Linked DNA regions of Xenopus tropicalis. Each later gene encodes a partner of the first gene's protein in a complex. Links are inferred from orthologs where the notes say so. Each region holds a gene or a part of one and is shown in the gene's direction. Other genes may lie near its edges. The genes, in order: ahi1, tmem107, tmem67 and tctn1.

The links.
Region 2: ahi1 (region 1) and tmem107 share a complex: the UniProt entries of both Homo sapiens proteins name them as parts of the tectonic-like complex. The link is inferred for Xenopus tropicalis from reciprocal best matches to the Homo sapiens genes AHI1 and TMEM107.
Region 3: ahi1 (region 1) and tmem67 share a complex: the UniProt entries of both Homo sapiens proteins name them as parts of the tectonic-like complex. The link is inferred for Xenopus tropicalis from reciprocal best matches to the Homo sapiens genes AHI1 and TMEM67.
Region 4: ahi1 (region 1) and tctn1 share a complex: the UniProt entries of both Homo sapiens proteins name them as parts of the tectonic-like complex. The link is inferred for Xenopus tropicalis from reciprocal best matches to the Homo sapiens genes AHI1 and TCTN1.

The regions. Positions count from the first base shown.
Region 1 is NC_030681.2:71,849,797-71,856,297, reverse strand, and holds the start of ahi1 (jouberin), read left to right. Parts: upstream 1-2,791; 5' UTR 2,792-2,972; exon of another isoform or gene 2,973-2,993; intron 2,994-6,501. UniProt on the Homo sapiens protein: Involved in vesicle trafficking and required for ciliogenesis, formation of primary non-motile cilium, and recruitment of RAB8A to the basal body of primary cilium.
Region 2 is NC_030679.2:144,534,526-144,540,903, reverse strand, and holds the start of tmem107 (transmembrane protein 107), read left to right. Parts: upstream 1-2,202; 5' UTR 2,203-2,309; exon of another isoform or gene 2,310-2,326; intron 2,327-6,378. UniProt on the Homo sapiens protein: Plays a role in cilia formation and embryonic patterning. Requires for normal Sonic hedgehog (Shh) signaling in the neural tube and acts in combination with GLI2 and GLI3 to pattern ventral and intermediate neuronal cell types.
Region 3 is NC_030682.2:127,745,563-127,751,405, forward strand, and holds part of tmem67 (meckelin), read left to right. Parts: intron 1-588; coding exon 589-679; intron 680-1,191; coding exon 1,192-1,291; intron 1,292-1,725; coding exon 1,726-1,795; intron 1,796-2,351; coding exon 2,352-2,426; intron 2,427-2,515; coding exon 2,516-2,578; intron 2,579-3,250; coding exon 3,251-3,405; intron 3,406-3,491; coding exon 3,492-3,600; intron 3,601-3,852; coding exon 3,853-3,945; intron 3,946-4,205; coding exon 4,206-4,271; intron 4,272-4,937; coding exon 4,938-5,094; intron 5,095-5,743; coding exon 5,744-5,843. UniProt on the Homo sapiens protein: Required for ciliary structure and function. Part of the tectonic-like complex which is required for tissue-specific ciliogenesis and may regulate ciliary membrane composition.
Region 4 is NC_030677.2:162,900,813-162,906,655, forward strand, and holds part of tctn1 (tectonic-1 precursor), read left to right. Parts: intron 1-948; coding exon 949-1,074; intron 1,075-2,388; coding exon 2,389-2,471; intron 2,472-3,100; coding exon 3,101-3,241; intron 3,242-4,064; coding exon 4,065-4,227; intron 4,228-5,179; coding exon 5,180-5,302; intron 5,303-5,843. UniProt on the Homo sapiens protein: Component of the tectonic-like complex, a complex localized at the transition zone of primary cilia and acting as a barrier that prevents diffusion of transmembrane proteins between the cilia and plasma membranes.

The DNA.
Region 1 (6,501 bases):
AGTTTTTGTTGTTGTAATAGTGTTTCCCAACTTGTAAATGGTCTAATGACTCCTTCCAAACCTACTGATTTCAGTTGGATACCTGTATATAGTTCCATCGGTTTCTAGGGTGAAGGCCCCATCTTTTTTGTATTGTATGGAACGGGATTATTTTTCCATTTTCAATTAAGTGGTGTAGTTTAGTGGGAGTATTTTTTTATTGTTGACCACTTGTCTAGTTGTCCCTTTTCACAACTTGGTGGGAAATTAGGGTTATTCAATAGTTCTAATTCTGGTGATGGGAATGGCAAAATATTTTGTCTTTGTTGTAAATAGTTCCAATTGGCTCCTATTGTGGGATGGTTTTTGAGTTGTTGAGGTAAGTCAGAGAAATTCAGGTGCATTAGGTTACATAGATTATATTTTGTTTCATGCTGTTCAACTTCTTTCCATAATTTAAAGATTGTCTCCATTTCCAGAGACATGTTCTGTGCATGTGGTTTGCTATATAGTATTTTTCCAGGCAGGGAAGTGTCAATCCTCCATCTGCTTTTTGTGCTATCCGGTATTCATATTTAATTCTTGGGTGCTTTTTGGCCCAAAGAAATTGTGAGAATAACGATTTGATCCTAAGAAAAAAATTCTCTGGTAGCTTAATTGGAATCATTTGATAGAGGTATAATAGTTTAGGCATGACCATCATTTTTAGCACATTGGCTCTACCGAACCATGATATTGATTTGCCTTGCCATTGGTTTAGCATAGACTCAATTTCGTTGGTGAGTCTGCCTGGGTGGGGGGCTAAATTGATTCCTAGATATTTTATAGTTTCAGATTTAAATTCAGCCATTTAAAGGGGAAAGAAGTTTGTAGATTCTGTGCTTGAACCAATGGGATATTTATGTTGAGAATTTCAGATTTTGAGGAATTTATTTTGAAATTAGATACTTCGCTGAATTTGTTAAATTCTATAATTACATTTGGGAGGGATATTTGGTGGTTAGTGATTACTGGCAGTAGATCATCAGCAAAAGCTGCTGCTTTATATTCTTGGGTGCCAACTTTGAGGCCTGTTATGTCTACATTTTGTCTGATGGAGGTTATCAATGTCTCCATGACTAACACAAATAAAATTGGGCATAGGGGGCACCCCTGTCTGGTCCCGTTTGAGATTTCTAAGGCTGGGGATAATATACCATTTACCTTTATTCGTGCGTAAGGTGCATGATAAAGTGCCATAATTTGTGCTGTTAATGCTGGTCCGAACTCAAAGGTTTGTAATGTAGCTTTTAGATATGCCCAGTTGACCCTGTCAAACGCTTTTTCAGCGTTGGTTGTTAAAAAAAAGTGAAGGTGTTTTCCTCTTTATGGCTAGAGACATGAATTATTTTTGTGGTATAATCTTTGACCTCTCTGCCTTTCACAAACCCTGTTTGTTCAGGGTGGATTAGTAAAGCGGTGATGATTTGTAGCCTGCTGGCGATCATTTTGGCATATGGTTTTTGGTCCAGATTGAAGTGAAATGGGCCTATAACTGCAGCATACTGCTGGGTCTTTGTTAGGTTTATGCAAAACAGTAATTTGCGTTCTTGTCTGATATTGAGTTAAAATGTTTTAATAATATGGGGATTATTTGTTGTTGAATTCTTTATAGAAACCTGCGCTATAACCATCTAGTCCCGGGCTCTTGTTGGATGGTAGATAATTAATTACTTTTGTTATTTCTTCTATTGAGAATGGTGCTTCTAGTTGTGATTGTATATGGTTTGATTTTGGGGAGGTCTAACTTTTTTAGGTATTGCTCTTTTTTTAGCGTTTTGTTTTGGTTGTGGGTCCCTGGGTTTAGATTGTATAGGGTCTGGTAAAATTCCTTAAAACATTTTGCTATATCTGGGTAGGTATGATTAAGTTTTTGCTTTGAATCTTTAATTTGTGTGATAAAAGTTTTGTTTTTCTGCGTTTTTATTAGTCTGGATAGGATTTTAGATGGTTTATTTGCCAATTTTTTATATATAATATTTGCCGTAGTATTCTCTTTTACATTTTAAATATGCTTTTTCGGTGAACTAGTCTAGTAGGTGTTTAGCTGAATTCTTTCAGTTTCTAACTCGGTTTGTATTTTGTTGGCCAGTGTTGTCTTGTGTTTGCTCTCTAAATTGTGAATTTCTTGCATTAGTATTTGTATATTAGCGTTATTCTGTTTTTTCATTTTTGTGCTGAGTGCTTTTAGGTTACCTGTTACTACCTTCAGTGTTAGGGGTCATAGTGTGGAGGGGTCTGTTTTAGTGAGGTTATTAAACGAAATTGTATCTGATATAGAAACAGATATTTCCGTTCTAGTTTGTTTCTGTAATAATAAGAGTTCATTAAATTTCCATACAAATGAAGCTTTCATGGTGATGGGGATCTCAACAAAGTATAACTTTTTTTTCCCCCTAAACTGTGAAAAGCAATGCCCTCTTAAACAAGGGACAAAATGCCAAAATCCCAGTTTAATTACCTATTCCTAAATCAGCCCTAGTTGTCCTAAAATTGTGAAATATTTCTGGGACTCTCTGACGCCACAATGGTAAAAGAGCTTAATTATTGATTACTATGGCTATTTTCACCCATTTTCTCCTAAATTCATTTTTTCTTACCCTAAATTGTGCAATAAAAAGTATTTATTTTTGAATCCCTGACAAAAGTAGGAGCTCCCTGACAGCACAGCGAAAGTAATATGCGAGCAGACAAGCGCCCTGCTGCGCCAACCCTCACACCAACGCGCGTCGCTCTACTGTCCCTAAAACCACTGAATGGTGCGTCCCTAGTACGTGTAGTTGTGACGCCGCATTCTCGCGAGATGAGAATTGGGGATTAGCTGTTCTGAGGTAGTCAAGGAGCAGGACGTAAACAGTGTTGCGGGACATTTAAGCTGCGACCCGAGGCTGCGGGCTGCGTTGAGAAAAAGCGGGACTATTGGGCGGAATGCAATACCTTGACGTGCAGATGTGGTAAATGAGAACATTTCTACAGTATGATTTTGTTTTTCTAAAGTTATTAAAAAAAATACAGCTGTACCCATTTGTAATATGTATTAATTGTATTATTTGACCTGCCGTAGACGCTGCGGCGCACTATGACAATAGCTAATTAGTTATTAATGACTGTGATTGTGCAAATTTGCCTACTGCTAACATGTGCACTACTATCCTGATTTTGATTAAATTGTTTTTTATTTTGTTCTGTTAGCTTTTTGGTCATACTGTGTTATGATCTGAGGCTGCAGATTGAAGACTGTTTATCTTTGCAGAGTACCATGATAATAGTGATTGGTGGCTGGGGGATTGAATCCAGGAAGGATCAAGTGACTGATAATGTTTTACCATAAACCGGTTCCCTGGAACACTGGTGGTGACATCTGTAATCCTATAGCGAAATGACTCCAAGCACACCTCCCAGTATTTGAAAAATCTAAAGAGGGACAAAAAGAAATGCAGTGCATATTGCAATTTTTTGACCACGCCCGTTTTTGTGACCACACCCCCTAAATACCACTCCCATTTTTACCATATTTGGCAGGTTATTTAAAATTTGAACAATTTTTGGGGGGTTTGGGGGTCATGTTTTATTTGTTATTACAGTTTTGCTTAAAAATGTGAAATTGCCCTTTAAGCTGTATGTCTCAGTTCCCCCCAAGAGACCTATTTAGTAGTGATGTGCGGGTTTACCCACTGATTCGGGCTGGCAGTGCAACATCAAAAGCAGGTTTTGGTTGGGTCAAGCCCTTCTGCTTTCCTCCCCGCCTGCAGCCTAACGGAGCCCCAATACCGGATCTGGCAGCGTCTATTTATAGGCGCGTGCCATGCCCACTCCCTCAGTAATGTCATTGGTGGGGTGGGATCAGGTCTATTATTAGTATTTATATAGCACCATCAATTTACGCATTGCTTTACAGAATAGAGTGGTACAAAAGACATAACAGTTAACATGTATATATAAACAATACACAAAAATGGTTTGCAGTTACATTGGATGAGGATCGGAGACACTAGGGGGAGGGCCCTGCTCGCAAGAGCTTACATTCTGAAAATCTGTAAATAGACATGAAGCTGCAGGCCAGGTCAGGTGCCGGTGGAGAAGGGACGGGTTAGGGTCGGGTGTGGGTTGACAAATAGTAGACCTGCACATCACTACTGTTTAGCTTATTAGTTACAATTGTATCTAAGTGCTCGTGTTGCTTGTTAACTTTTCTGGGCTCTCTGCCAAAAGCTGCTTGTTTAATTAAGTTTCAGAAACATTGTATCTTTTTTAGCATTCAGTGCAGGAGATGAAAGTGAAATGAGGGACTTTTCAGTAAGAATCCGGTCTGAGCTGTTGAAATAGGGACTGTCCCGCATCGGGATGTTACTGTGCGCATTGTTACAGTAGGCATCAGCTTGTATCTGAATTTAGTAGTCCACAACAGGTGGAGGTCTGGTGGTACTGTAACTCTAATTTTCCTTCTCTGGTGAATTAACCTTATATCAAATGCACTAGAAGTATGCACAAAAAATATAAATCTAACTACAGTGCTGAGTTCTCTTACCCAGTGGTGGGAAATTCTGTGTTTTTAGTTTCAAATGTAATGTTTTTCTAAACAAGCTGTGGTGCTATGATGGCTGCCACTCAGCGCATTAGGGCTGTTATATGGGGGCTATTAAAGGTGCCAACGTTGCCCCTCTGGACTCATTCTGCAGCTTGTGTGTCGACTGGTCCGATTGCCATCTTGGAGTCAGGAAGGAATTTTTTCCCCTCTGCGGCAAATTAGAGAGGCTTCAGATGGGGTTTTTTGCCTTCCTCTGGATCAACTAGTAGTTAGGCAGGTTATATATAGGCATTATGGTTGAACTTGATGGACATATGTCTTTTTTCAACCCAACTTACTGTGTTACTATGTTACTATGTTACTATGAAAGGGCCTGCTGTGACCAAAAATTAGCCCAGTATCTGTCAGAGAGGTTTGAATATCCTGCATGCATCAGCAAGTTGATGCAATCCTCCTTCAAAAAGCCTCCCTAGGTTTAAAGGAGAGTGAAAGTCATTTTGGCATTTTACTGCCAATAGATTCCGCAGAAAGCATTACCATACCTGAGTAAAGAGCCCTTGAAGATTTCTCAGTTTGCTTAAGAGAGGAAGTCCGATACCTGAAGAACATGTTTACAAAAAAGGAGACAAGAAATCCTGTGTTTCTTTTGATAGAGGACTCGCGTTTCTGTGAGTGCTTATGGGTGTATTTACATAGACCTTTCTGATAAAGCTTACTTAGTTTTTACGTTTCCTTCTCCTTTAATGTATGATCTGCTTGTTGGCCCCTGTGACAGAAAGTGTATTTTATCGCTGTCCACAGAGATAGTGTGATAGCCTTTATTTAAGATATGGGACTTGCAGAAAATAGATATTTGAGACTATTGATAAACTGAGGACTGAAAGAAGAAACATCTATCACAACCTTCAGTGATACCACATACTTTAGGACGCCTTCAGTGTTTTTTTTTCCCAGGACTTGATTCTTTCTGTCATTTTTCTACTTATTATACTCACATTTCATGAAGTAAACTTGTGGCCTACACTAATATTGTATTTTAAGCTGAAACATTGCCTGCTGGAGGGGGCCAGGTGCAAGGCTGACCCAATAGGACAAATATGTTTTGCCAGGTATTCCTTTCTCCATTATTTACAATTCAATGCCTGACACCACTTTACATGAAACATCCTTAAAGTTGACATGTCACCTTAAAGGAGAAGGAAAGGCTAATAAAGAGTTAATCCTAAACTGCAGGCATACCTTCAGTTGTCTCAATAGTGCCCTTAAGTCTCCTCATACTTCACCCGTTCAGAAGATCAGAAGCCAAACAGGAAAAAAAACCGATGAGCTGGGTAGAGAAGATTCCCATAATGCATCGCTCCTTCAAGACTTGGTGACTTGTTACTGCAGGCGGCGCATGTGCACAGGGCAGGAGCGTCCGTTTGCCATGGCGACGCAGCGTCGCCAAACTCTGTGACAAGGAGGAGGGGGAAGCAGGGGGGCAGGTGCTGCGAGCGGCAGAGGATTTGTGGCAGGAGTGGGGGGGGGTTTGTGGCAGGAGCTGCAGAATCTTTGTGACAGGAGCGGGGAGCTGGTTTGTGCTTTTCAGCCCATACAGACACGCTGGACAAGATGGCGGCGCCGTTCACTGAAACAAGTATGTAAGTTCTAGTATGTGGATCTCTGTAAATCTTTCATTAGGCAAGCCAGGAATATAGCGTTTTTACACAGCAATAGTAGTACTATTTAATAGTGTGCTTAATAGATTTTGACTTTTTTTCTCCTTTAAGAAATAATCCAATTTTTTCTGCTTTGTCAAGTAAAATGAACTTCACTTACACTATATAAATAATGTAAATCTTGTTTCCTTAAGTCTTGGAATTACCCAAACACAGGCAGGCAGGTGCCATGTGGTTGAAACTGTAATTAAGGCAAGCTTTGTATCATGCCAAAATCTTGTGTATGCACCAGAACAG
Region 2 (6,378 bases), on another chromosome or scaffold:
ACTGGGGCCTAGTACTGATTCAGCTACTCCCCCCCAGTACACTCTCCTTACTACTTCCCACTGGGGCCTAGTACTGATTCAGCTACTCCCCCCCCCAGTACACTCTCCTTACTACTTCCCACTGGGGCCTAGTACTGATTCAGCTACTCCCCCCCCAGTACACTCTCCTTACTACTTCCCACTGGGGCCTAGTACTGATCTAAGCACTTCTCTGCTGGTTTTTCTTTCACTGCCTTCCTCCCAGTGCGCTGCTGTTTCAGTATTTGCATTCCACTAGTTCAAGCTCCTCATCCTGCCGCTTACACTTAGTATCAACTTATTCCAACAGCTTCCTCCTTATAACTCTGTCCCCTGACTGCTTCATAGGAGAATCTTCTTCCATCAAAACCTCCTCAAGAAGAAGATCTTCATCTGCCATCTGATCTCCATCTGCTTCTCCCCACCATCTCCTTGATCCAACTGCTTCTTCCCTGAGAGACCTTCATCTCCTTCTTCCCACCATCTCCTTGATCCAACTGCTTCTTCCCTGAGAGACCTTCATCTCCTTCTTCCCACCATCTCCTTGATCCAACTGCTTCTTCCCTGAGAGACCTTCATCTCCTTCTTCCCACCATCTCCTTGATCCAACTGCTTCTTCCCTGAGAGACCTTCATCTCCTTCTTCCCACCATCTCCTTGATCCAACTGCTTCTTCCCCGAGAGACCTTGATCTCCTTCTTCCCACCATCTCCTTGATCCAACTGCTTCTTCCCTGAGAGACCTTCATCTCCTTCTTCCTACCATCTCCTTGATCCAACTGCTTCTTCCCTGAGAGACCTTCATCTGCTTCTCCCCACCATCTCCTTGATCCAACTGCTTCTTCCCTGAGAGACCTTCATCTGCTTCTTCCCACCATCTCCTTGATCCAACTGCTTCTTCCCAGAGAGACCTTCATCTGCTTCTCCCACGATCTCCTTGATCCAACGCTTCTTCCCTGAGAGACCTTCATCTGCTTCTCCCCAGTATCTCTTTCTATCGATCTATCAGTTTACCTTACTACACCTTCTCTCTCCCTCCTGCTGTTCTGATCAATCAGTAATCGGAACAATAGAAAGGCATTCGTAAGCCAGCCATACACGCACAGATGTTATCATCTCGTACAATATTCGGTGCGTGTATGGTGACTTGTAGAGGCGACCAATATCCCAGAGGCTGTGGATATCGGTTGAAGGCGCCATTGAAGGCGCCCGAGCAAAATCTACGTTCAGGGCTGAAGGAGGTAGAATTTCTATTGTTTCTACCTCCTTATCTGATGATTCAGCCCTGAACTTCAGCTACGTGTATGGCCACCTTTACTTGTATGCTCTCCATCCATTTGGCTTAGGGGCCACTCTTTGGAGAGCGTTCCAGATGGGCCAATGCCTGATTAGAAGATCTAGGCAGTTTGTTATACAGCCCTACACATTTTGGGGAGTGAAAGATAGCTATATCTGTGGGCCCCAGGGTCGGACTGGGGGGGGTGCAGGGCACACCAGGGCTCCCGCCCTAACCCCCCCAACCCCCCACAGGGTCCCCCACCCGACGTCCTCCCCTGAGCTCCCGTAAATTTAACGCCTCAGGGGAGGAACGGTCGGGCAGGGGGAGCGCCGGGATTTGTCCCGGTGTCCCAGCGGCCCAGTCCGACCCTGGTGGGCCCAGATAGTCAAGGGGTATGCACAGGGAGGTGCTGCTTCCCCCGCCCCCTGGAGGGTGGGAAAGAAACAATGTTTCAGGAGCCTAAACCACCTGTATAGAGGATATATAAATCCCTTGTGTAACTTCCCATGCAGTTAATTCCCTCACTGTGGGAAGTAAAGTCATAATGACGTCATTATACCCAGTAATATTCCCAGGGTGCATCAGGCCTGTAGTAAGAAGGTAGCGTGGCCGAGCGGTCTAAGGCGCTGGATTTAGGCTCCAGTCTCTCTGGAGGCGTGGGTTCGAATCCCACCGCTGCCAACTCAGCTTTTTATTTTCCCCCCTGCATCTATGGCTTGATATATTTTCGCTCGAACTGTAACTTCTTTTCGATTAGCCGCCATTGTGGAGGCTTTGCATCTATATATATGTTAGTTTGGGACAGGTTTCATAATCAGGGATGTGTCGTCGCTTTTACGACAAAGCGCTAAAACTTCCAGCTACAATAATGGCGGACTTGCCTTCTGCCCCATGTGACCGGGGCTCAGTAGGTGAATGGTCAGAATCTCCTGAATCCTGCGCGTTTTGGTTAGGACGCTGAGGGGTTGCTAGGCAACGGTAAGCGGCGGGTTTTCGGCTCGGAGATTGGAACGGGTAAGGGTTTTGTTCCAGTAAGTTACTGGTTTAACTGGTCTCTGCCCGGGGAATACTTTGTATGTGAGATATTTAATGGTTAATTTATACAGTATAAGTAGCTATAAAAGTCTGTATATATTATATGAGAGGGTTGCCGGCCTGTATATACAGTAATAGGAGTCAGGGAAGCCTGTATATATTATATGAGAGGGTTGCCGGCCTGTATATACAGTAATAGGAGTCAGGGAAGCCTGTATATATTATATGAGAGGGTTGCCGGCATGTATATACAGTAATAGGAGTCAGGGAAGCCTGTATATATTATATGAGAGGGTTGCCGGCATGTATATACAGTAATAGGAGTCAGGGAAGCCTGTATATATTATATGAGAGGGTTGCCGGCCTGTATATACAGTAATAGGGGTCAGGGAAGCCTGTATATATTATATGAGAGGGTTGCCGGCATGTATATACAGTAATAGGAGTCAGGGAAGCCTGTATATATTATATGAGAGGGTTACCGGCCTGTATATACAGTAATAGGAGTCAGGGAAGCCTGTATATATTATATGAGAGGGTTGCCGGCCTGTATATACAGTAATAGGAGTCAGGGAAGCCTGTATATATTATATGAGAGGGTTACCCGCCTGTATATACAGTAATAGGAGTCAGGGAAGCCTGTATATATTATATGAGAGGGTTGCCGGCCTGTATATACTGTAATAGGAGTCAGGGAAGCCTGGATATATTATATGAGAGGGTTGCCGGCCTGTATATACAGTAATAGGAGTCAGGGAAGCCTGGATATATTATATGAGAGGGTTACCGGCCTGTATATACAGTAATAGGAGTCAGGGAAGCCTGGATATATTATATGAGAGGGTTACCGGCCTGTATATACAGTAATAGGAGTCAGGGAAGCCTGTATATATTATATGAGAGGGTTACCGGCCTGTATATACAGTAATAGGAGTCAGGGAAGCCTGTATATATTATATGAGAGGGTTACCGGCCTGTATATACAGTAATAGGAGTCAGGGAAGCCTGTATATATTATATGAGAGGGTTGCCGGCCTGTATATACAGTAATAGGAGTCAGGGAAGCCTGTATATATTATATGAGAGGGTTACCGGCCTGTATATACAGTAATAGGAGTCAGGGAAGCCTGTATATATTATATGAGAGGGTTGCCGGCCTGTATATACAGTAATAGGAGTCAGGGAAGCCTGGATATATTATATGAGAGGGTTACCGGCCTGTATATACAGTAATAGGAGTCAGGGAAGCCTGTATATATTATATGAGAGGGTCCCTGGCCTGTATATACAGTAATAGGAGTCAGGGAAGCCTGTATATATTATATGAGAGGGTTGCCGGCCTGTATATACAGTAATAGGGGTCAGGGAAGCCTGTATATATTATATGAGAGGGTTGCCGGCATGTATATACAGTAATAGGAGTCAGGGAAGCCTGTATATATTATATGAGAGGGTTACCGGCCTGTATATACAGTAATAGGAGTCAGGGAAGCCTGTATATATTATATGAGAGGGTCCCTGGCCTGTATATACAGTAATAGGAGTCAGGGAAGCCTGTATATATTATATGAGAGGGTTGCCGGCCTGTATATACAGTAATAGGGGTCAGGGAAGCCTGTATATATTATATGAGAGGGTTGCCGGCATGTATATACAGTAATAGGAGTCAGGGAAGCCTGTATATATTATATGAGAGGGTTACCGGCCTGTATATACAGTAATAGGAGTCAGGGAAGCCTGGATATATTATATGAGAGGGTTGCCGGCCTGTATATACAGTAATAGGAGTCAGGGAAGCCTGTATATATTATATGAGAGGGTTACCCGCCTGTATATACAGTAATAGGAGTCAGGGAAGCCTGTATATATTATATGAGAGGGTTGCCGGCCTGTATATACTGTAATAGGAGTCAGGGAAGCCTGGATATATTATATGAGAGGGTTGCCGGCCTGTATATACAGTAATAGGAGTCAGGGAAGCCTGGATATATTATATGAGAGGGTTACCGGCCTGTATATACAGTAATAGGAGTCAGGGAAGCCTGTATATATTATATGAGAGGGTTACCGGCCTGTATATACAGTAATAGGAGTCAGGGAAGCCTGTATATATTATATGAGAAGGTTGCCGGCCTGTATATACAGTAATAGGAGTCAGGGAAGCCTGTATATATTATATGAGAGGGTTACCGGCCTGTATATACAGTAATAGGAGTCAGGGAAGCCTGTATATATTATAAGAGAGGGTTGCCGGCCTGTATATACAGTAATAGGAGTCAGGGAAGCCTGGATATATTATATGAGAGGGTTACCGGCCTGTATATACAGTAATAGGAGTCAGGGAAGCCTGTATATATTATATGAGAGGGTCCCTGGCCTGTATATACAGTAATAGGAGTCAGGGAAGCCTGTATATATTATATGAGAGGGTTGCCGGCCTGTATATACAGTAATAGGGGTCAGGGAAGCCTGTATATATTATATGAGAGGGTCCCTGGCCTGTATTTACAGTAATAGGAGTCAGGGAAGCCTGTATATATTATATGAGAGGGTTACCGGCCTGTATATACAGTAATAGGAGTCAGGGAAGCCTGGATATATTATATGAGAGGGTCCCTGGCCTGTATATACAGTAATAGGAGTCAGGGAAGCCTGTATATATTATATGAGAGGGTTACCGGCCTGTATATACAGTAATAGGAGTCAGGGAAGCCTGTATATATTATATGAGAGGGTCCCTGGCCTGTATATACAGTAATAGGAGTCAGGGAAGCCTGTATATATTATATGAGAGGGTCCCTGGCCTGTATATACAGTAATAGGAGTCAGGGAAGCCTGGATATATTATATGAGAGGGTTACCGGCCTGTATATACAGTAATAGGAGTCAGGGAAGCCTGGATATATTATATGAGAGGGTCCCTGGCCTGTATATACAGTAATAGGAGTCAGGGAAGCCTGTATATATTATATGAGAGGGTCCCTGGCCTGTATATACAGTAATAGGAGTCAGGGAAGCCTGTATATATTATATGAGAGGGTCCCTGGCCTGTATATACAGTAATAGGAGTCAGGGAAGCCTGTATATATTATATGAGAGGGTTACCGGCCTGTATATACAGTAATAGGAGTCAGGGAAGCCTGTATATATTATATGAGAGGGTTACCGGCCTGTATATACAGTAATAGGAGTCAGGGAAGCCTGGATATATTATATGAGAGGGTCCCTGGCCTGTATATACAGTAATAGGAGTCAGGGAAGCCTGTATATATTATATGAGAGGGTTACCGGCCTGTATATACAGTAATAGGAGTCAGGGAAGCCTGTATATATTATATGAGAGGGTCCCTGGCCTGTATATACAGTAATAGGAGTCAGGGAAGCCTGTATATATTATATGAGAGGGTCCCTGGCCTGTATATACAGTAATAGGAGTCAGGGAAGCCTGGATATATTATATGAGAGGGTTACCGGCCTGTATATACAGTAATAGGAGTCAGGGAAGCCTGGATATATTATATGAGAGGGTCCCTGGCCTGTATATACAGTAATAGGAGTCAGGGAAGCCTGGATATATTATATGAGAGGGTTGCCGGCCTGTATATACAGTAATAGGAGTCAGGGAAGCCTGTATATATTATATGAGAGGGTTGCCGGCCTGTATATACAGTAATAGGAGTCAGGGAAGCCTGGATATATTATATGAGAGGGTCCCTGGCCTGTATATACAGTAATAGGAGTCAGGGAAGCCTGGATATATTATATGAGAGGGTCCCTGGCCTGTATATACAGTAATAGGAGTTAGGGAAGCCTGGATATATTATATGAGAGGGTTACCGGCCTGTATATACAGTAATAGGAGTCAGGGAAGCCTGGATATATTATATGAGAGGGTTGCCGGCCTGTATATACAGTAATAGGAGTCAGGGAAGCCTGTATATATTATATGAGAGGGTTACTGGCCTGTATATACAGTAATAGGAGTCAGGGAAGCCTGGATATATTATATGAGAGGGTTACCGGCCTGTATATACAGTAATAGGAGTCA
Region 3 (5,843 bases), on another chromosome or scaffold:
AATGGGAAAAGCATGATAGTGCTGGAATTGCCACTTACCACAAAAATGCAGTCATTTTTCTGGCTCAAAATGCCAGTCAGGAGCATCTTTGCCAGCATTTTTCTGCCATGGGGCATGTGTGCCATCAGAATAAGCATGTACATTAACTGGCTGCTCGGTTGAGGACTAATATGGATGCCCCCGCAGAAATAAGCTAAGACAGCTTGAGAAAGGGCCTGGAGGGGCCCGCAATATTGCTTTGTTCTATATGTATTTGGGCTAAATAAACACTTTTTTATAGATTTACCTTTTCAGTGTGCTACTGGATTTTTTTACAATTGTATAATGATCCCTATACAAGGTAGGGCTCTTGCCGCAATTGCACCTGACAAGCTATTTGGGTATATAATCAGAGGGTTTAGCTCCCCAATAATAGCAATGCTCCCAGAGAAATAGGCAGATAATTAGGTCTCCCTGGGAGGAATATATACCAATACATTTTACTTAACATTTCTGGAAAGTATATGAAACCCTAGAAAGGGTAGCATTTCCCTCTTAAGAAGTGTCTAACTGTTTTGATTTTGTCTTCTTTGACTAAAATCATTATAGGGTGTAACAGCAGATGGATGGAGTTGTATTAAATGCCCCAATGGGCTGAACTCAAATGGGAATTGCCTCTGTCCTCCAGGAAACATTTTGGGTAAGTAGGATATTTTGCATTTTAATAAACTGGTGCCTACTTATCCATGCTCTTCTCCAATCCTGTGCTAAGGAGTTTGGTTGACTAAAATTGTAGGTAAAGTTCTCTAATTCCATCCATAAAAAAGATGCATATGCAGCTCCAGAATCCAACTGTACTGCTTGACAGTAGCTATAATGACACAACTTATTTTCATGGAAAAAACATTCAAATGTGCAGTCTTTCTCCGATGGAGATATATAAAGCCAGTGATGAGCTGTAAAAGCAGATTCTTGCACATCTACAGATACCCCATGTACCAGTCAAGATTAATTCAGTGGCTACATGCCAAGGTTTATGCAATCCCTTTCCAATAATGATAAAGTGTTCATTTCCAGAAGATGTGAACAGTTCCAGCGTTCCTTTTCCAGCTAGCATGTTGTGTCCCTCACATGGAGGCATACATGGACAGTTAAAATGCACTTGTCACAAAATCACAGGCAGAGTAATATAGCACATAATTTGTATTTTAGTGGAAAGAGATGTGAATGGCTCCTTGCTGTTAGAAGCAGAATGCATTGACTGCGATGGGACTGAACCTTCCTTCACTGCTGCCAACACCCTAGGAAACAGGTGAGTTTACTTAACCCATATTATTATCAAGAAGTCACAATGTTTTGCTGTCTGTATGATTTCCAGCTTGGTAAGTGGCAAAATGCTGTTAATTGACCCTTAATTGACTTTAATGGTAATCACTTGAAACCATTAAAGTGCACTTGTGGGTACTGTAGTTACTTGTGGGTACTAGCATGTGCAGTGTAAATGTGCTCTAAGAGGCATATTTTTACATTTCTTTGTGCTCTAGGCCCTGCCATGTTAAGTAAAGTGATGCCCAAACAGCTGAAAACAGTCTCAATAAAAATTGACTGTCTATAGAATGTTACAGCATTTGCCAGAATATACAGATTGCCATTGTGTATGTTTGTACCAGTGGTTTGCGCAGTTATTCTACCTGAGTTTGTGTATGTTTTCATTGCTCTAATATTTTGCTCTTTTTGTATGTCTAGGTGTGAACGGTGCCATCACACGGTTATCAACAGGAGTAACTCATGCAGCTGTAACCAGCCAAATATTATGGTAAGAAAGTCATTTAGGGTCATAGCGCAACTGTAACTAGCACTCACTATGTATTAGGGACTTGCCAAATTCAGGTTTCTGTTGAGAATTTGCAGAACCTCAACGCTTTTGCAAGATATTGTTAAATCCCAAGTGCCTGGCTAAACCAAAGCCTGACTGTTAGGCTGAGAGCACACAGAGCATTTGCTCCGCTGCTCTTAGCCTGCAGTTTTTTGCAGACTGAGAGAAGTGAATCTGATCCCTTACACACTTCAGTAAAAATTAATTGACAAGTTCAGCTTCTGCCTCCTCTTGGCTACACAAACTTTTCAAAGTAATAGGCTGTGCGAGAAGGGAGAGGTGAAGGGGGGCGATGGAGAGCAGTTGAGGGGGGCTTTTGTTCCTGGGGGGTTTAGTTCTTCTTTAAAGTCATATGACTTTAGAGCAGTGGGCAATTGAAGGTGACAACTTTCTTATGATGTAATTTTTTTGTGGATTTTGCTCAAATTTGAAAATGTGTCCAGTGAAAAATAGAAGCTCATGCAACATTTTTTTTATTTACTTACATATTTTCTAGACTGGAGGCATATGCTATAATGCAGCGGGGAGTATCCTGTCCAAAGCTCTTCTGACTGTTCATTACAGCCAACTGGTGAGACCCTATATTGTGTTGATGTGTTTGCTTGCAAATTTACATAAAGTAGGAAACCCTGAGAATGTATCTAACCTTTTTTCTTTAAGGGTTTGATATTGCGATCAGAATGGTTTGCCACGCATTTGCAAGCATCGGCTGCAGCTTGTCTGGTAAGATTCTCTTAAATAGCTTTTTTTCTAAAGCTGGCAAGGTTGTCAAACAATTGGATCTTTACTTGATTTGCCCAGTGAAATCGTGGGCCAAATAAGGATGATTTCATTTTTTTTAGTGCAAAGCAATTATCAGATTATAATGGGGCCCTGCAGTGATCTGTCTGGCAACAAGCCTTTATCTTTGTGATGTTTGGCCCTTGCTAGATACATTTGCTTTTTCGAAAATGTGAGTTTTGACAAATTTGGTTTTTTTACCCTTCTCCTGTTTCCCAGAAGAAGCTCATTGAGTCAGATCAGTGACTTTTTTTAATTGTTTCAATTTGATACATAAGTTGATAGTTACTTAGTAGCTGAACTCATGCTAAGCATAAAGCTTAGGTTTTAGAAAACGGATACAAATTAGAAAATGCAAACAAATGGCAAACGTAATTATTTGTGATACAGTGTTTTAATAAATGACTAGACATTTGTGGGTTTAGCGGAAAATAGTTTATTTGTGGTTTCAAAAACCTCTTAAACCACAAAAATAAAAACAAACACAAAAAAAAATCAATGTTGATAAATCTGCCCAAAGTGTTACATTAGATGTAAGACCTTCTACAAAATATAGTTTAACTGAATTGCAGAAGAGCTTGTAACATGGTGCCTTTATTTCTCTTCCGTCCATAGATGTACAGTAATCAAACATCATGCCAAGCTCTGGGGAACATGTGTGTCATGAACATGCATTCTACAAGTATTTCCAGTGCTGACGCTTGCGGTCTGTTCCAGTACATATTTACAAGCACAGCAGGTCTAGGAGTTATCCATTCCCTTTCATACTGGCAAGTGTGTTTTCTTTTTGTTGGTAGAAAAAAAAAAGCACTGCCCACTGGAAAATTTACAAGAGTAAATATCATGTCTTCTACAGGCGAACAAATCTGCCATGGCTCTTCTATGGTGACCAGCCTGGACTGGCTTCCAGGACTCTTGTGTCCTCTCCAGTTCCCACAAGCTATACTTTTAAAGAAAGTGAGGAGGTATGAAAAGGCCACCAAAATTGAGCTGGAGTGAGACACTGGCCCATTACAATGGAAAGCTGAACAGCTTGTTCTAATATTTATGCATGGATGGATTCTTTTGCAGCATTTGAATTACAAATGTATAAGTGATTCAACATTGGTTCTGTGGCACTTTTTGTATCATGGTGGCAATGTAGAAATATACCCTGTATGTGACAGTCCCAGGCAGCCCACAGATACAAATAGGAATCTGATGTGCTTCCTTCCTAGGTAGAAAATACCAAACTGCAGTTTCTAGCGGCTGTGTATGACGTTCGAGGGAATTTTATAAAATGGCAATCATTGGCTGGAGGACTACTGCAGGTATTTACATTTTTATTTTTATGAAAATTTATAGATCAAGAGATATGGGGCCGCAATGTAGTAGATGGTGACATGACACTTCAGAGAAGAACGTTATCATCATCAGTACAGAGCAGTACAATAGATATGTCAGCATTCTTATTCTGTGGTACTAAGCCCAGCTCTGCATTTAAATGTAAGGGAACTGTTCAGTAAGGGATACATTTCCCACCCCAAAACACCAAACTCACCCACTGCACAATTTTTTTTTTTCCTTGCAGTTGTGTCCTGATATTGTGGCCAGGATAGATGCTGCTTTCAGCTTTGGAACAACGTATAAACAAGAAGTAAGCATTAAATATATCTCTAAATACAAGAGCAAATAAATATCCTGTAAATTATATTCTTATAAATAGTACTTAATGATGTCATCAGCTACAATCGGTGCTTAGTGATGTAATTTCTCTCACACGACTCATTGGAACTTGTATATTCTGTGACTTCGGAAAGCCGAAGCGATGCATAAAAACAAAATAATCTATATGTGCTTCATAATTAACAATAATTGAAAGAAAAGGCAAATATATAACTTCATTAAGTTAAACGAGATTAGTCGCTGCCGCTAGAGGAGATTTATCCTCGTCTGTCATTGGCCTTAGTTGGCTTATGTTGAAAAAAAGTGTATTTAGGCATAGTGCCCCTTTAAGCAGTTTTATGTCCTGTTTGTTTAGTGAGATGTTTCTAATTAGGATCCAGCTGAAAGTAAAGAATAAGGAGCTGCCACTTTACCAATGTATCTTCTTTTGGAATGTACTGTAGCAATGGCTTTCAGTGGAAACCAGTTTGGACACCTAATCCTTATTTATACTTGCATGTACAGTACATTGCAACTGGGCAGTATGTGTATTTATGTGTGTGTGTTCCTGTGTGCCCACAAAGAGATACATAACTACACATACACACACAGTATATTTTGCTACCCGTGTTCACTTGGTCATATCATTCCTTTGCAGTGTAGAATTAGTGTTTCTAAGCTCCTGCGTGACCACCCCGAGCCTGTGTTCTATGATGTGTATCTGGCCTACCCAGGGAATGAGAAGCAGCAGAATCTCCTTCCTGTGCCAGTCCTGAACCTGAACCTCCAGTACCATGAAATGTTTGTTAACCAAGGTACATTCTATGGACATTTATATGATTGATGTATGTGATTATACATAAACCAGTTCAATTAGATGGGATCCCTTTAAAGGGATTTTGTCATGATTTTTATGGTGTACTTCTTATTTCTAATTACACTGTTTAAACTGCACATTTTAAAATATGTGTTGTATTTTTTAACCAGTATCAAAATTACATAATATGTAATTTAACAAGGTATAATTTTTTGATCCAAAATTAGCGGCTTACTGTCCCATGGGATGGTGTTGCTTAAAGCCAATGCAGTCCTGATGGTACTGCAGGATGTCTGTGATGCACCAGTGTTATAGACACAAAGATAGCCTAGCAGTCCACATTATACTAGCTTACAGCCAGTTATAGTGTTGATTTGACAACCCTTGGCAAACATTTTTATCACCAATATTACTGTTGTGTCAACCTTGCACTTTGTTTATTTGAATGTGTCTCATATTTTTACAAAAGGCTGGTGTTTTGCCACTTCTCTTTCGGTAGTAGGCAGATAAACAGCACTAGGAATTCCAAACAGTGACACTCTTGGGGGGGGTAGTGGAACTTTTAGTTCAGCTAGGGCTTCAGGTTGGGGCACTATTGGCGTAGAATTTTACTTCCCCTTCACTAAACATAATTTGTCTTGTTACAGGAGACAACATCAACAACTGGCTCTTGACTCGCCGAATCTTCCTGGTGGATACTATTAGTGGGCGAGAAAATTCTCTGGCCGATCCTCCAAGGCTCATTAG
Region 4 (5,843 bases), on another chromosome or scaffold:
GTAACGGCGAAGAATTAGCAAAAGGCTGAAAATGCTACGCGTCAAAAAAAAAATTGTTGCACGTCATTTCAGAGTTTCGCAAATTTTTTGCCGTTTCATTAATCTTTTCCAAGTTTTGGACAGATTCGCCAATCTTTAAAGGTAACGGTAAAGGTAAAAAACAGTAACACCAAAAAATGAAAGAGTATAAAAGTAACTAAAATATAACGTGCTGCTGCCCTGCGCTGGTAAAAGTTGTGTGTTTTCTTCAGAAAGTCTACTATAATTTATATAAATAAGCTGCTATGTAGCCATGGAGGCAGCCATTCAAAGAATAAAAGGCACAGGCACATAGCAGATAAAACACTATTGTATTCTACAGAACTTATCTGTTATCTGCTATGTAACCTGTGCCTTTTCTCCTTTTTTCCAGCTTGAATGGCTGCCCCCGGGGCTACACAGCAGCTTATTATATAAATTATAGTAGTGTTACTGTAGCAAACACACCAGTTTTACCAGTGCAGGGCAACAGTGCATTATATTTTTATTACTTTAAAGCTCTTTCATTTTTTGGTGTTACTGTTCCTTTAAGACATAAAAGCCTGCTTTCTTTACTCTATGAGCACAATCTTTATTGTACAGTTCATACCTGGTCGGTATAATTTCCCTTAAAAGTATTAGCATTTTTCATGACAGCACGTCTGATACAGAAGCCTTTATATGATTATTGTTGACACAAATTTATAAAGAGCCAACACCTTCTGCAGTACTGTATAATAAATGGGTGTATACATTGAACATACAGATTTACATGCAAAAAATACAGCCTATAACCAGTACAAGAGGGGCTGCTCACTTAGCATTTGTTACTCCGGTTTATGACAGTGTATCAGGACGTCACTGATTCTTTATACACTATAAACATGAAAGTAGAGCAAATAAAACTGAATTCTAATGCTTGCCTTTCAGGGGAGTTACCAGATCCTATACACAGAACAAGGAGCAATTACAGCTGTAAATGCTTTCCTCATATTGGGAGTAATTAACGCTACTCTGGGAACAGTTCAGCAAAGTTTTAAAGTTTCTTTTGTTCAGGTGTGTTTTATTCTCTTGTTTTTTTTTGCAGTGACTATATAGAATGTATAAGTGTGTGCATATAAAATCGGATCAGTCCTGTGCTTTGAATAATACTTTTAAGATTGAAAGCTCTTATATATATATATATATATATTTTTTTTTTTTTTAAAGATTTTATTTTGCATATTTTATATTTCTATTTAGAATTATCAATGGAGAAGGAAAGGTAAAAACTAAGTAAGCTTTATCAGAAAGGTCTATGTAAATACAGCCATAAGCACTCACAGAAAGTTATCTTATCTGTCAAAAGAAACAGGATTTCTTTTCTCTTTTGTTTTCCTGTGCCAGAGACACGCAGCCCTCTCCCCTCTCCTGCTCCCCCTCCCTCAAGAATGCTAAAAACTCCCCCCCCCCCATCCTTAGGAATGTGTGATCTTAGCCAATCAGCAGGAAGCTTCCTCATAGTCTTACAAACTGAGCATGTACACCGGTCTTGGTCTTGGTGCAGGAGCGAGGCATTATGGGAACTTTTTTTTTACAGAGCTCAGCATTTTTTTTTCCTATGAGGCTATGGGAGAAATATGGGGAGACTTAAGGGCACTATTGAGAGAACTGAAGGTATGCCTGCAGCTTGAGATTAACTCTTTATTAGCCTTTCCTTATCCTTTAATATATATAGGATAAAATTACAAAAATGTTTGCACCCAAGTGACTATATTTTTTTTTTACTGTAACTTGTCTTTCTGGAGACAGTTATATTGGCCATGTTAAGCAGTTTCCCTTATACAAGTGGTGCCTCTGCCCTGTATTACAGTACATAGCTGACACATGAATTTTCAGTCCCAGTAAAATACGCTTATCGCATATAATGATGTGCCAAAAGGTAATCTAAAACATTCCACAGGATAGTAAAGGCAATAGTGAGTGAATGATTTGGGGAGTGGTAGGGCTGTACAGATTAATCAAGTGCTACCACCTTACTCGCTTTTGTTGCTGCTTATTTTCACACATTGGATATCATAGGCTCAGCCTATCATTGCTTAGACCAAATGGAATCTGTGCTGCAGCAACACTTGTCTTTACATACAAGATAATTGTTGATTAATTGGAATTCAGTGTTTGTTTTTCTCTACCACTCACAAATCATTAACCTAACCCAGTAGCTGTTGCTGCTTGCGGGCAGTCATTTTCACCAATCACACTTTGATGGGAATAGGCTCATTAATGATGCAATTAAGGAGAGTTGGTAATGATGGCAGGCAGTATTATGGTTATACCAAATCTCTCTGGATCCAACTAAACTTGATTTTGAAATTGTTTTATTGATTACAGGATGGAACCTTCCCATCTCTTCTCAGTGGAAACCCTGGCTATATAGTTGGATTACCAGTCATTGCTGGCTTTAAGGAACCACAATATCCTTTTCTTGTGGCACGGACCCAACTGTCTAACTACTATAATGAATATGCATCTATATTAGAAAACTAGAGGACTAGAGCAAAAAACAGCCCAAATATATATATATATATATATATATATATATATATATATATATATATATATATATATATATATATATGTGTGTGTGTGTGTGTAACAATAAAATTGTGTACAGCAGAGAGACAAGCTTGCCATATATGGCCCCTCAAACAGAATCTGCTTGTTCAGCCTATGGGCCAAATTGGTCAAATACCGTTCCTGGTTGGCCTGTGTAGGCCCACTGCCTACTAGATTTTATTATCAAGCCACATCAAGGGTCAGTCAGTATCCTTTTGGCAGTGAAGCAGGTATGTGGCCAGTATGCTTTTCCAATGTGGTGTACAAATCCAGTTAAATTAACTTAAATTAGAAAACAAATTATAGATGTAGTTGGGCCTAATAATTTATTACCAATAGGCACTAAACACATGGCGCAGTTTAGAGCTTTGCCAGGTCTGTTCTTAAAATGAATAGAGCTAAATGAAGAGCTTAAAATGAATAGATCTAAATACGTGTATTCCTTTGTGTATTCATAATATATATATATTTCTTAACAGTTGTATAAATCAGGCATTATTCAGAACACAAACAGGTTTGCCCAACTAACTATTCTACGAAGCTCAGCTGGCCAAAACTGTCTAACAGAAGAAGGCAACAGGGCAGCAGTGCTGTTTGGGTACAACATGGTATCCGGCTGTAAACTGCAGTAAGTAACTCAAACACTGTATAATAGCAGAGCTGCCTTAAACCTTATATGATTTGGGCATGGTTAAGCAGTAATATTAACACTAGGGAATGAAAGCTATAAATGTGCTACAACTTGAATATGACTTAATGAATCTTGTTCTAAAAACTAAAGCTGGCCAAACATGGGCTGATAAAAGCTGCTAACTGAGCCCCTTCAGACCCAGCACCAGTAAGATCAGCCTGATGTAGCCCAGCACATGGGTGGGTAAATTGGGTGCAATATGTGCAAGAATTCTCTCCTTTTTTAATGAAACACCCCGTTACAGATACATCAGATAAGCCTCAATAAAAGTCACTGAAAATGTAGCCAGTTTATATGCAACCATATTTAACCAGAATATAATGCACCCAGGAACCATGTAGCCTGGACTGATACATACATCAGTCTATAATGTTTCCTGTATCCCCTTTGCCTCACATTTTCATAGTAAAAAGGAAGTGAAAGATGAAGGATTTGCATTTGAGTTACCAGCAGGTTGTTTCATGCCAGCGCATGTGTGGTTACTGATCTGTGGCCGTACTCCTCGTCATAATAAAGTGTATATATATATATATATGTGTGTGTGTGTATATATGTATGTATGTGTATGTATATATAAATAGTATTTTTGCAGGTTTGGTTTAGGAAAGGTACAGCGGCTTATTGCACTGAAAATAATCTGTGACACTGCAAAGCTTTCCCCACTAACTGATTTCTGTAATTGTAGATCAGCAGGATCTGGGGGCCTCTGCTATACAGTATGGACTAGAGAATAATTGTAATTATGTGATTATTTCCCCAGGTATCCTGTACCATGTCAAGTTGCAGCAACTGCCATCTTGAATGTGCTGAGAGGGCAACAGTTTCCCGAGTATGTGGCATCCTTTGGGAATTCTCAGCCACAGAATGTTCTGGACTGGGTACCAATTACTGTTGTCACTTCTACATTACCACAAAGCGCAACGGTAACGTTCTGTACTTCCGTTTTTGCACCAAACATGTTTGCAGTCACAGTCAGAAGTATAGATAATGGTATATAAAGCAGCCAAACACATAAAACAATTCCAATCATTTATAACACTGCAAAAAATATCTTTTTTACAGGTATAGGACCTGTTATCCAGAATGTGTGGGACCTGGGGTAGAGTCCTGCAGTGGTTGGGTTCTCGTGGGATACCTGCAGAAAAAGCAGGCACCCCGCGGGTTGCGGGTAGGCTTTTCAGATGCAAATATAGATGCGGGTCTTATCTATATTTCTTACATTATCTATATTTTACTCCTTTTAGACACTTTAAAACTTTTTTTTCTCATTTCCCCCCCCCCCTCCATTTCAGATATCACTTCCGGTCTGCAGCAATAAAACTCCCTGTTTAATGGTTGTCAAGCGGGTCACGGAACAGGTTGCGGATAAGGCAGTTGAGGGTTGGGTAGCAGGTCCATGCTGGTTAAAATGCGGGTTTTGATTTCAGGCCACGGGTCCGGATTGGGGGTCTGGGTTTTAAAAAAATTAGTCCGCACATGGCTCTAACCTGGGGTTCTATGAATAAGGGGGTCTTTCTGTAATTTAGATCACCATAATTGTAAGTCTGCTAAAAAATCACTAAAACATTAAACCCAATAGGGCTGTTTTGCCTCCAGTAAGGATTAATTATATCTTAGTTGGGATCAATTACTAGGTACTGTTTTATTATTACAGAGAAAAAGGAAATAATAAAAGAAAAATGTTACAGAGCTGAGATGCCCAATCAGGATCCTTCCCAGCATCCTGGACTCATAATAGAATTTAAATGCAGGAGACATGTAGACTGGATGTGTGAAAAGCTTCAACTGTTTTAGCTCAGTGTTTTCTTATGGTTTTTTTTTTTATTGCTACATATTCACATCGCTGAATTTCTTAATATTTGTTTTTCACCAAAGGCTGATTGCAAAATCCCAGTTTCATTAGACTTAGAAGTGAGATGGACAAAATATGGATCTCTGGTAAATCCTCAAGCTCAGATTGTTAATGTTACGGAAAAGATAACATATGCTTTTGTCCAGGTAGGTACTATGTAGCTCTTTTTTTTGCACAAAGAAATAACTATTTACTAAACATAAATAGAGGACTTATATTCTGCACTTAGTCAGAGCCTATAAAGTTAATGTTGTCCTAAAATTAGACCATAGCGTTTAATATAATATATTTTTTTTTAAAAAAAGCACTTGTGTCTGGGGTCTTGCTGTGCACCTAGTGCCAAAAGCAGGCAAGGCTGTATTCAAGGTAGAATGCAGGTCTGTGCAATCCATTTTGGAGACCTGTGGAAATTTAGAGCAGTACTGGGCAGGGTGCAAAGTGATTCTGTCAGTTTTACACTTTGTTCCCTGCCCTGCACTTAGTAAATGACCACTAATGCCTTGAGTAATCCGTAATGGTAGGATCGCTTGTCACCCTAAAACTACTGACACATTTATCTGGATTCATTCACTACTATATGGCCAGCTGTACAGATAGTCACCCTGGCCCAAATTATTAACCCAATATTCACCTGGGCCCCCTTTGGTGGTGGACCCTACCACCTGTTAATATGGGGCCCTAACTCTA